Drosophila melanogaster: one gene and its partner. The protein of the gene in region 2 purifies or fractionates together with the protein of the main gene of each other region. This does not show direct contact. Each region holds a gene or a part of one and is shown on either strand. Other genes may lie near its edges.

Region 1 (6,231 bases), about 13 Mb from region 2:
CAGTGGCCTTTCAACTTAGCGACGATTACAACTGCGTCGTGGAGCTGTTTTATCTGTGCACAAATGCTCTCAGCGAGGATCGTCCAGCGGCCAAGACCATTTGGCAGTGCCTGGAGAACAATGGCGCAAATGTTGCGACAGAAAGCGATTAGACTGATAATCATTCTCAGCCTCCGAACTCCACAATCTTCCTCTTGAATATAATTTGATTAGATGACTCATTTTTGTTTTGAATGTACAATTAATTAGCTATAATTTTTACCCTGTAAGAACAAACCAATTACGGTTAAAGCCCCAAAACGCGAATGCACACTTAAGCAAATTGTACATATTCAGCAAGCAAAAGAGTGGTCGAATAAATCGAATCCCCAAATGGAACAAAAACTATATCGTTAACTGGTTTTTTAATTCGCAGTCTTCAAAAGGGTATATGTAAGATCTTTTTTGATTAAGGCCCGGCTAATGTATTTAAATTGATTTTTGTAAGCTAAAAATAAGTGAAAGCAATTCAGTTGAATTGAAAAGTATTGCTTACAGAGGGAAACAATTTTTTCGTTTATAAATGCAGGAACCGAATATCATTTTTAACTTTTTTGTATACTTTAACGCCTCGAATTGGTTGTGATATAAACAATAAACTTACATTGTTTTGCTATAGCCTCCCAGGAAAAAACCAATTACACACCAGATCGGTTACAAGTTCTCTTAGGTTTATTAAAAAATAATAATACATACATCAAAATATAAGGTTTTCTTTCGTGATTTGCTTTTCGGTCTTTTCAGTTGCTTAGCGGGAATACACATTAGCTTTTGTATATATATATATATACATGCGTTTGCTTGGAAATCGGGATATTCTGGCGACTTTTGTTCGATGTAAGTTCAGATTTCTCGATAATGCAAGGGTATATGTGAAATGGGTATATGAGGGGAGTGGTTGGGCGGCGATACGCATTTAGTTATAGTTTCAGATTCGCTGCTGTCTATCCTAGATCTTGCTATCTACCCAGGGTACACGTTCGTATGGGGTTAGTTATGCCCGTTGCGACCCATAAATATTAATATTGTTAACTTCAAGTCGAGCAGATCGCATTGCATCCCATCTGCCGTGAGTGGCGTTTTCTCAATTTTACTAAAGCGAATACACAGACTTCAATTCAATTGTGTGTACAGGGGTACGTACATAACATAGATTGTATTCGTTTATATATTCTCTTGTATATATATAAAAAGTATCGAATTGCTCTCTTGAAGGCGAAGGCGCTGTTGGTGTTTCGTTTGTATCTTAACGTTTTGTTAACTTTATCTCCTCGTTTTTCTATCCTTTCTCCATAACTCTAAGTGATGACAATGACAACAAAGAACTTGGACGAGTATTGGACACAATGACGAAAAAACAAAAGTTAAAAATTACAAATGGTTTTTAAAATAAACAGATATAATGAGTAATGCCGAAAAAATAAGAAATTGAGCTAAACAAAACATAGCAGATATACGCAAAATGATCGGCTCAAATTAAAAACAAGGCTTACAAATCAGGAAATATAATTTTGTTAGGCTTTTCCGACTTGTCACAGTACATAAAATGGAATGTTTTTTTTTTTTATAAATTATTCGTGCTCGTATATGTGATTTTGTTACAATTATTGCCGTTTCAAATGGTTAAGTTAAATAAATTGATCTGCCTTCAGCATTTGATGCCCTCTCTCTATTTCACTCTCTCCTCTAGCTGTCTCACTCTAGTCTAATACAACAAGCAAGAATAATAACAAGACGTAAATCTTACAAATTTAAATACACATATATATATATGCCAGGAAAAAAGATAAAAACAAGAGACTGCATTCAAAAACGTGCAAATGAATAGGTGTGTTTTCTTTGACTTTGAGTGTTTCGTGGAATGTATGGAGGAAAGTCGTATGATGATTACACATGTATATACAATCGTGTTTTATATATTGCTCACCTACAATCGGACTGGAAATTTTGCAGAACGTTAAATTTGAATGGCCAGGATTAACAAGAAATGAATGGGATATGGCCGATATGTTGTTTACTCAATCAATCAGGCTTTCAGGCTAATACCAATAGATTTTATAAGGTGACTTTTCAAATCATGGCTGGTTGAGCTATGACAGTCGCTTTAGTAAGTGAGCGATATACAAGCGATCAGTGTACATGTGAATAAGTTGGCCTAACTTGTATAACTTTAAATAATTGACTCGAGTTTAACGAACTTATTCGATCTTAAGGAAAGTTAAGTCTGATAAACTGAAAATCCTCTGCACTTCTCAGCGATGAATTCGCGTTTTCCGTTGCTTAAGTTCTGGCTGCGTCTGCTGGAGGTGCTGTATCGCCGGGTTAATCCTACAAATGCAGCACTCCATCCTTGACATCGCTGGCCATTATCGTGGACGCATTGGAGGCTGCCTGCTGGTGGTGCGACGAGGGTGATGAGGATAATGGCGGCTGATGGTTGTGATTGCCGGCTGACGTGGACGTTGGACTCTCGTCGAGGGTGACGCCCGTTAAGTCCACAATATCGTCCTGATCGTCGTGCTCGATCTCGTCGGAGGTGTTTGTATTATTAGTGTGATGTGACCCACTGGACAGCTGGCTGTTCCTTGAAAAGGATCCGCGATGTGTGGACGTCAGTGTGCGCTGATTGGCCGGCTTCACGGTGATTATCAGATTGGAGCTGTTGGCCACCATCATGTCGGTGACTTGATCCAGAGTCTTGCCAGCCACTTCGATGCCATTTACCTCGATCACCTCATCGTTGACGGCCAGCAGGCCAGTACTTTCGGCCAGACCGCCCGGAACCAAACGGGATATAAAAATGCCCGGCTGCTTCTCTAGCCCACTGGCCGTCACCCTGACAGAGGTGCCATCCCGTATGTAGAATCCCAGGGGCTTATCGCTGCCGTGCTTCAGTAGCCGCACTCTTCTATGCGTTTCCGGCACTATATCCACATCTATAATGGCCGAGACTTGACGGAAATCGTGCGGTATGGATATCGATGGCGCCTTTGTCTTCACTGGCGTATGGCCCATCAGTATGCTGCCGATGAGGTTTCTCGGTTTCATCGTTCCAAAGCCAGAGTACTCATTAAGATCATCTATAGAGTGAACGAAAAGATTGTGGTTGAGTGGCTCGTATTGTATCTTATGCATACCCATACTCACCCTTTCGCTGCACAATGACCCGTAAAAGTGGACGTGCTGTTTTCAGGGCCCGGCCGAAGTTATCGTCGTTGTTAATCGGCAACAGATCATTGTCCCGCGGATCGATGTAGAGTATGAGAAACTGGATGTTGGTCAGCTTGTGCAGCTGCTCAATGAGGGATGCGAATTTGTCGAAGCTCTGCTCCGCCTCATTTCGCTTGAAGCTCCACCTCCGAAACTCTGCATCGAACTAAAGGATACGTATTGATTAGTAAAGGGGCTGAATCTTTTGAAACCCGTATAGTTTGTTCATCAGCATCACCTGTTGATTCAATTGTATGCAGACATTTTACTAATTTAATGGGACCTTCACTGAATTGCAGTACATCTACTGCCTTATAGCTATTACTGGAGTTTATCTTGAAGAATTGTACCTTGACTAATTAATAACTGAAGTTTCCTTCTCTGTAAAATTACAGAAAATGAACGAAACAGGGTAGTTTTTGAGTAAGGCGCAACAGATTGGTTTTCAGGCAAAGAGCCCAAGCAATAAAGGGTGTTGCAACAATCCATATCAGAGCTCAGGAATTCCGACAAGTAAGATGCATTCGCAAGGGCAAATTGTCACTTTTGGGGTGCTTCTAAGATGGAAACCAGTTGCTCCTCACACCTCGCACTCCAAGCATTAATCCCTGCTCTGGCCGCTTTGACACAATCGAGCTCAACAGATAGGAGTTCCCAAATTGGTAGACACATTGCTCCTCAGACTAAAGACCCCCTTTCCACGCACAGAACTCCAATTTAAGCTATTAATCCCATTCCTGAGCGCATGAATCAGCAGCTCAGCGCCGCAGAAAGGGGCGTGGAATCCGGGGGCCACGAAAGTTAGGACTCACCTTCGATTTCACCTCGATTAGATTCGTGTCACTGGCCGCCGTTGCGGACGTTGTGTTTATCTTGTTCTTCGACATTTTCTCCGATCCGCCCGATCAAGAGTGCACTGACAGTTTTCCTCTCCGTTCCTCACACACAACACAAAACACGGCAGTTGAGTTCCGCAGATTCTGATCTGATCTTCAGGATCGAAATCGAACCGATACGCCCGATGCGAACCGAAACCGAACCAAAGTGCAGCGTACCGATGGCGGGGAGCGACGATAGTGGGGGGCCGCCAATAAATTAGAGTTAGAAATCTAAATTAAAACTAATTAAATAAAAAAAATGGATGGATGAACCTATCGGGCACTATCGTACTTCGATATTGGTAGGCACTATCGGTTATCGGATGGTAATAGATCCAGAGTGACCGTGGGGAATGCAAAACCAAAATATACCATTTCAGTTTTCTAAAATACCACAAATATGCTATAAGCAATAGATTTAAACAACAATGAAAGTATCTAAAAAGACTTAGAAATAATAATAATTTGTTTTCAATATAGCTAGCAAAGGTTTTGAATTTATCACAACAATAAGTTTTTTTTTTTAATAACGGTATGTTCTTTGTTTGTTTTTAAATATTTCCCAGAGTAACTTAGGCATGAACCGATGTTGTGCATATATCGATATATCGATAGAGTCTGAGCAGCCATGTTGCTGCGTTAGTGTAGAGACAGTTTGTTTGTGTGGGCTGGGTGGATCTTCAGATGCGCTACATTTGCAAAGTGGCTGCTGTTTGCACGAAAAAAGAGGCTTAACTGTTACAAGACAAGAATTAGCTATATTTAAATGCTCAGTTTTAATCAAAGACGTTTTTTAAATAAATAAATAAAAACCCGCTTTTAAATCGAAGGCAGGCAAGACGCCAGCACGAATATGCCCCAATTGTAGCGCAGCGCCAGCGACGAGGGTTACTGTAAAATGAAACTGTTTTTGTGTGTTGTTGTCGAGCGTGAAGTGTCCAATTAGACAACTGAATTTGTTTAGATGTGAACGCCAGAGTCGAGATAGGTCACACAGCAGCTACGACAAAGTTGAGCGAATCGATTTCAAAACAAAAGCAACCAACGAAACAAAATTTTAAGTCGCTAGAAAAACTAAAAATCAAGATTTTCGAGAGGAGGTGCTATACCAAATACATATATATATATAGTCTTTAAACGAGTGCGTGTGAAAACATAAACCCAAACAACAGACAAGGAGACTAGCGGGGCCAAAGGAAGCATAAGGAGTCTACACGCAAAGGAATAGTTAAAGCCAGCCCACAACGCACATATTCATATATTTTGGGACCACTTTTCCAAGGCAGCTGGGAAAAGGCGGTGAAATTGCGACTATCCGAGAGCCGAAGAGCTCAGCTGCAGGAATAAGCTGACGAAACTGAAACCTTGAGACAGCGATTCGCACGCACACCAGCGCAGGCCCGCATCAACACAGACACACACACGCACAGCAGCAGGAAATTCAGACATCATGAGTTCGGTAGGATGAGCATGTTCCTCACATAATTGTTAGCATTCTAATAATAATAATACGAAACGATTCTTAAGAAGTTGTATCCGTGATTGTAAAGAATCCTATCCAACAGATGCTTCTTAATCTTATGAATGGTTTAGTAGTGAGAGCTTAAAATCGCGTCCTTACAAATACTTTCCAGCATACTAAGAGTATGAATTTCATTAATAAATACCCTGTTTGTGGAGACATGTGATTTTGTTAGTTAAGTTTGTATGTAATAATCCTTGCCTACAAGTACTGTACTGTACTTGCCATCCATTTTTAAAGTTCGTATGTTCCAATAAGTACAATTCCAACTAGAAATAATGACTCAACCCTGTCATTAAAATCAATTTTTGTATATATAAACTTTTGCCATTCCATACTAATGCCATTCCCCCATTTGCAGCAATACTCGAATGTGGAGAACCTGTCGCCGCAGACGATAAGGCAGGTGATGAGGGAGCTGCAGGAGATGGAAACCACGCCACCGGAAGGCATCAAGGTGCTAATCAATGAGAGCGATGTGACGGATATTCAGGCATTGATCGATGGACCTGCTGGCACTCCGTACGCCGCTGGAATTTTCCGCGTCAAACTGACGCTGAACAAGGACTTCCCGCTGACGCC
Region 2 (5,290 bases):
TGGGTCCGGACTCTGGACAGGATTGCAGGGCCATGGATTGCCGGCCAACGGGTGGTCCACCATGCAAGCGAGACGTTCTCCTCCGGCGTCCAGCTCGACGTCTCTGCCACAAGGTGGCTCCAGCTCCCAGATGCTGTCCCCCATCGTTCGGCGGACATGGTCATCACCATGGACATGGACACGGACACGGACATTGCTTGACCAGTAAGGCGGCATTTCGCGCCGGAGTGCCCAAGCATAATGCCTCCGGTGATTTCGTGGGAATAGAACCGGGCTGCGGAGGAGGTGGCGGTGGCGGTGGTAGGGTTCTGGTGGTGCCACGCCCCCGGCAGCCGTATGCCAAAAAGAATTACGACATCGAAACCCTGGTGCCGCCCTTCCAAAGCCAAGCGGGCGGAGCGGGTCAGGGCGGCTATCCAGAGCACTGGCGATTGGCCAGTGTCTATCAGCACGCCTACAAGCCCATCGACCAGCGGCGGCGACCCCTTCTCCAAACTGTCTACAAGTAGGTGTGCTCCAGGATGGCAGTCCGCTCAAGAGAGAAATGTCCGGACAAACGGGATAATGAATAATTGAAAGCTATACAAAAATGTCCATAAGCTAAGCAAGTATATTAACTTATCAACTTAAATGTTTGCTAGTCATTAGCATTAAATTGATGCATCTGTACACACAAATTAGTCGGAAAAATCGGTCCAAGAATAGGAAATCACACGTTTATGTATAAAAAAACAAATGTTATATATATTAGAAAGCATATATATATATATATATAAAGATATATGGGCAAACATACATACATACATATATGAATAAACGTGCAAACATCAAGTAACTTAAAACTATAAACAGTGTGCAAATTAATTTGCAGAGTTCGCTTGAAAAATTAAGAAAAAAAACTTGATTAAAAACTAGGTGATGATGTGGTTTTCAGATGAAATAAGGTTTCCTTTCCTTTTTTCGCTGGTCTTGTGTGACAATCTTTGGGTGCAATTAAAAACTTAACTAGGTGCTGAAAAATCGAATTGAAAAGAAGTCAATTGGGTCAATTCAACAAGGGGAAGGCGCATTTCAAAAATAATAACAAATAAATTTAAATGCTTTCGGTTACAGAAATGCCATTTGAAATCCCCTAAAAATCGACGCACCAATTGAATCTGTGGAGCCAACCTGCTCACTTGGCGGTTGCATAGGCATCGTGACTCTTGTGGAACACATGGCGCAGCACGTCCCGCGTGGACCGCCTAATGCTGTTCCGCAGTGAGTGCTTCTTCTCGTTGGTCAGCTGCTCGATGGTCATGTACTCGGTTTGGGCAACGCTCGAGCGGAGCTTCATGGTCCGTTCGCTGGTGTCGATAATGGAGACGTCGGCGAGAACGGGCTCCATTTGCTCCTCCAACTCGGCCGCCTTTTGTGGCCTCCTGCGCAGGCTGTGCCGAATGCTATTGAGTATGTTGTGCTGTCCATGGCCCTGTCCATGTCCATGTTCATCCTTGTCCTCGGACTTTACCTCGGATGGCGTGGTGTGCGACGTGGGATGCATCAGTCTTCGAATGGACTTTCTTATCATGCCTTTCATTCCGATACTGGGCTTAACTTCTGCCGATTTGGCGGACTTGCTTGATCCGATGGACTGCAGCGACTCCTTGCTGGCCGCCTTGGAGGGCAGAGCGGCGGGTCTGTAGGCGCGAACGAAGCGCGCGGGTGCCTTGAAGTCTAGATCATCGGGCTCGTCGTCGGATTCGGATTCGGAGGCATAGGCCACATCGCCGTCGGTTGGCTCCTTTTCCCGTTCCTCTTCTAGCTGCCTTTCCAGGAGCTCCTCCTCCTCCAGCTTCTCCTTCTCCAGATGCTTGGCCCTCTCCTGGAGCTTTTCCCTGAGCTGCTCGTGCAGCTTCTCCTGCAGCTTCTCTCGCTCCAAATGTTTTTCCCTCTCTAGGAGTTTCTCCTGCTTCAATTGCTTCTCCCTCGTTAAATGTCGTTCCCGCTCTGAGACCATCTCCTGCTCTAGAATCTTCTCCTGCTCGAGAATCACCTCTGCTTCGCGGTCCTGCTCGAGCAGCTTCTCCGTGTCCTCTTCCACCTCGGAAGCCTCGCTAATCTCGGTTAGTGTGCGTCGTCTGGTGCAAACCAGACGCCTCTCCACTTGAGTGTCCACCGTCACCACTTCCTGCATCATCAGCTCCTGCGTATTGGTCTCCATGACCAAGGAGACCTTGGTGTTCTTGGGCAGTTCCACCTCCAAGCTATTCCTGGGCAACTCTCTATCCACCAGCACGCCATTCTTCCGTAGCTTCGCCTCGTTGATGCTGTTCTCCAATTCCAGTTGATAGCGATCCAGCTCCTTGCCAATGTCCATAGACGACTCCTCGCTGATGGCGCCCAGCGATCGTTTGGGCGCCGGAACGGGCGAAAAGACCAGCTTCTCGGCCAGCAGCTTGCTAGGCGTTAGCTGCGTAAGGGACATGCCGTGAAAATCGATGCGACAGCCCAGCGTTGGCGTGAATGGCAAGCCGATCTTCAGGCTGGTGGGCAGCTGCTCCTCCGAATCCCTATCGGCCAGTGCCGGATTGGCCACACCCGAGGGATTGCAGGCTGCCTCGGACGCCTCGCTGGGCCGATGGATCTCGAAGGGATTGAGCGAGGCCGGCGCATCACTGCCGCGCAAATTCAGGGCAGGATTCACGAAGCCCTTGGCGGGCGTGGTTGCCGAGCGGACGACCTAAAAATATTATGGCTGAGTTATAATAATATTCTATAGCTATATATAATAAATGTATGATTTTTATGTAGTTTTTAATATATAGATTATAAAGATATTGTTTTATTTAGAAAACAAACACATATGAATGATTTCTACTGTAACTTAACTGCGACAAAAAGTACATCCATGTACGATTAGACTAGTGAACTCACCTCATATGGATTGAACTGCTTCTCGGGCAGCTCCAAATTCAGGCCAGGATTCTCGAAGCAGGCATGCTCGCGCTTCTTCTTCTTGGGCGGCTGGCGCAGGACCTCAAAAGGATTCGTGGGTAGCTTTTGTTGTTGTTGTTGCTGCTGCTGATGATGCTGCTGGTGCTGCTGCTTCTGGGCCAGATCAGCTATGGACTTGACCTCCAAGCCGGGAAACGGATTGGGTTGGCTATTCTCCTTGGCCAAACGACGACGAGCCACCATTAGCTTCTTGGGCGTGGAACTGAAGGCGGCGTTGGTGAAGCAGGATTCTGTCGACGCGACAGCTGCATCCTGTGCGTCCTTTTCTGGGGGTTGTTGCTGCGGATTCGGGGGCGGGGCAGCATTTTTATAGAGCGTCTCCCTTTTGCGTTTGCGCGGCGTCTCCGTGAAAGCCAATGCAGCTATGCTCTTCGTCTCCAGCATTATTCAGTCGATCACAAGTCGATGTGTATATCTTAAGTTTCTTTAATCAGATTCAAATTGTTTTTCTAGAGCAGCGAGGAGCAATTATAAACAACGCAGTACGACACCAAATGCCATTTTGAAAATCCACAGACAACCGGAACCGGTTGCATCGTTAGCCAACACTGCGTCCGAACCGGTTCTCAATAGGCCCTGTTAATCCCATATTACATTGCTGTTAATAAAATTTTTTACTTATTCACTTGTATCAACTAACCAAATGCTTTATTTGAATTATGTACATAATAGTATATATATTATATATGCTTTTTTCATTGATTTTAACATTTCAGTATGTACTTTAGGAAAATGTAATGTAATGTAATTTTAACCAAAATAATCGATATCGATAACAAAGGCATCTAACCAACTATCGCCACCGATAGGCGATAACTTTCGATATCAGGTGGCTCAATTTGTTTTCGAATGATTTTAGCGTCACATCAAACTAGTTTCTAACGCTGCTTCCATGTGGCGAACTGACATATTGAAGGGGAATAAACTTTTTCGACCATGAGAGCGAAGAGAGGAGCAGTCGGAAAGGTGATGATGTCCGGTTCTCGCCATAACAAATTGGCGGAATCATCCCGCGTTCCTCCACTAGCTAGGGAATATATCAGCGCAATGGCCACGGACCGGGAATTAGATCGATTCATGGCCCTTTCGTCGACGGCAAGCAGTGGAGCCAGTGGCAGCACCCACAGTTGTGCCCTGGGATCAGTCCCGCCGCCAGGATGTGCCTCCATGGAACATGAATCGCGACCAGAATCAGGCCACAGGCGTCGCACGAAGAGCAGCGATCATCGTTCACCTGACGAACGGGGGGAAGCAAAGGAACAGCTCCGGGAACTGTCAGTTTCACCACCACCCAGTAAGCACAAAATCAGTCAGTTCACATCACCGAAATCGGAAGTAACTAAGACGAAACCGAATGAATACACTATAATTCCTATTGTATTGGCCAGTAGCCCCAGTTTTCGTTCCGTAGCAGTCACCCAAACCATGTCCCAATCCGCGGAGGACATACGCACACCTACCAAGTCGCCCCAGATGCAAAACAAAAAAACGCAGACACCAGAGTCTGTCCTTAAGTCACACAAACGCCTGGAGTGGGATCCTTCTGCCGATGTGGGCTACTGCAAGAGGGCAATGTCCATGAGTAACATCAGCACGCTGGAGCGATCCGTTTTGGAGGATTGCAGCTGGCGTCAGCCAACACAGCAGCGACCCGAGGCGAATTTGGATGGAGTGCAGCCCCTTTTGGCCGAGGAACCGTCACCAATGTTGGATAAGCCAACGCCGCCACTGGCTTGCAGCACGTTTGTCAATCGCAGCGAACGCACGAAGTCTCTAAACTCTGGAATGGAAAGTTCATTGAGCTCCAATAAAGGAGATCCTAGAAAGAAGTGCCAACGTAAATCCAGGAGACAGGATTCCGAAGTTAGCTCTTGTCAGACGGACTGTCGCAGCAGCTCGCAAAAGGAGTCAACCCAAGGCAGTTCTGAAGCAAAAGATATTCGTGGAAATTTTACAACAGAAGGTACCCAATGCAGTTACAATAGAAATGATACCGAAATTGACTCCATAATGGAAGAAGAAGAATCAATTGACAGGCGTAAGAAAGACGATTTAAGGATTAGTTCGCGAGTACAAGATCCACAGATAAGTTCTCGCAGGCCATCGGTGAGTAGCTCGCGGAGGGAATCGCTGAGCAGTTACAGAAGAGACGACTCCAGGCTCAACTCGCCAAATAGCTCCAGATTGGGATCAGAAGTCAGCTCAAGGGTGGAGAGCTCGCGTTCCAGTTCAAGGCGGGAATCACAAACCAACTCGGTGTACGGCAGTTTGTCGGCCAGTAGCTTTGATTATC

The links.
Region 1: the proteins of pon (region 2) and par-6 purify together in Drosophila melanogaster (affinity purification with western blotting, with the first as the bait; one study listed by BioGRID). This does not show direct contact.

The regions. Positions count from the first base shown.
Region 1 is NC_004354.4:17,701,556-17,707,786, reverse strand, and holds par-6 (par-6), read right to left. Parts: upstream 4,436-6,231; 5' UTR 4,137-4,435; coding exon 4,062-4,136; intron 3,416-4,061; coding exon 3,187-3,415; intron 3,120-3,186; coding exon 2,368-3,119; 3' UTR 691-2,367; downstream 1-690. Other genes in the region: CG8173 (uncharacterized protein), read left to right, coding at 1-152; CG8188 (uncharacterized protein), read left to right, coding at 5,578-5,586, 6,011-6,231.
Region 2 is NC_004354.4:4,634,544-4,639,833, reverse strand, and holds pon (partner of numb), read right to left. Parts: upstream 3,517-5,290; 5' UTR 3,382-3,516; coding exon 2,917-3,381; intron 2,723-2,916; coding exon 1,175-2,722; 3' UTR 722-1,174; downstream 1-721. Other genes in the region: CG3081 (uncharacterized protein), read left to right, coding at 1-509; Alms1a (alstrom syndrome 1a), read left to right, coding at 3,934-5,290.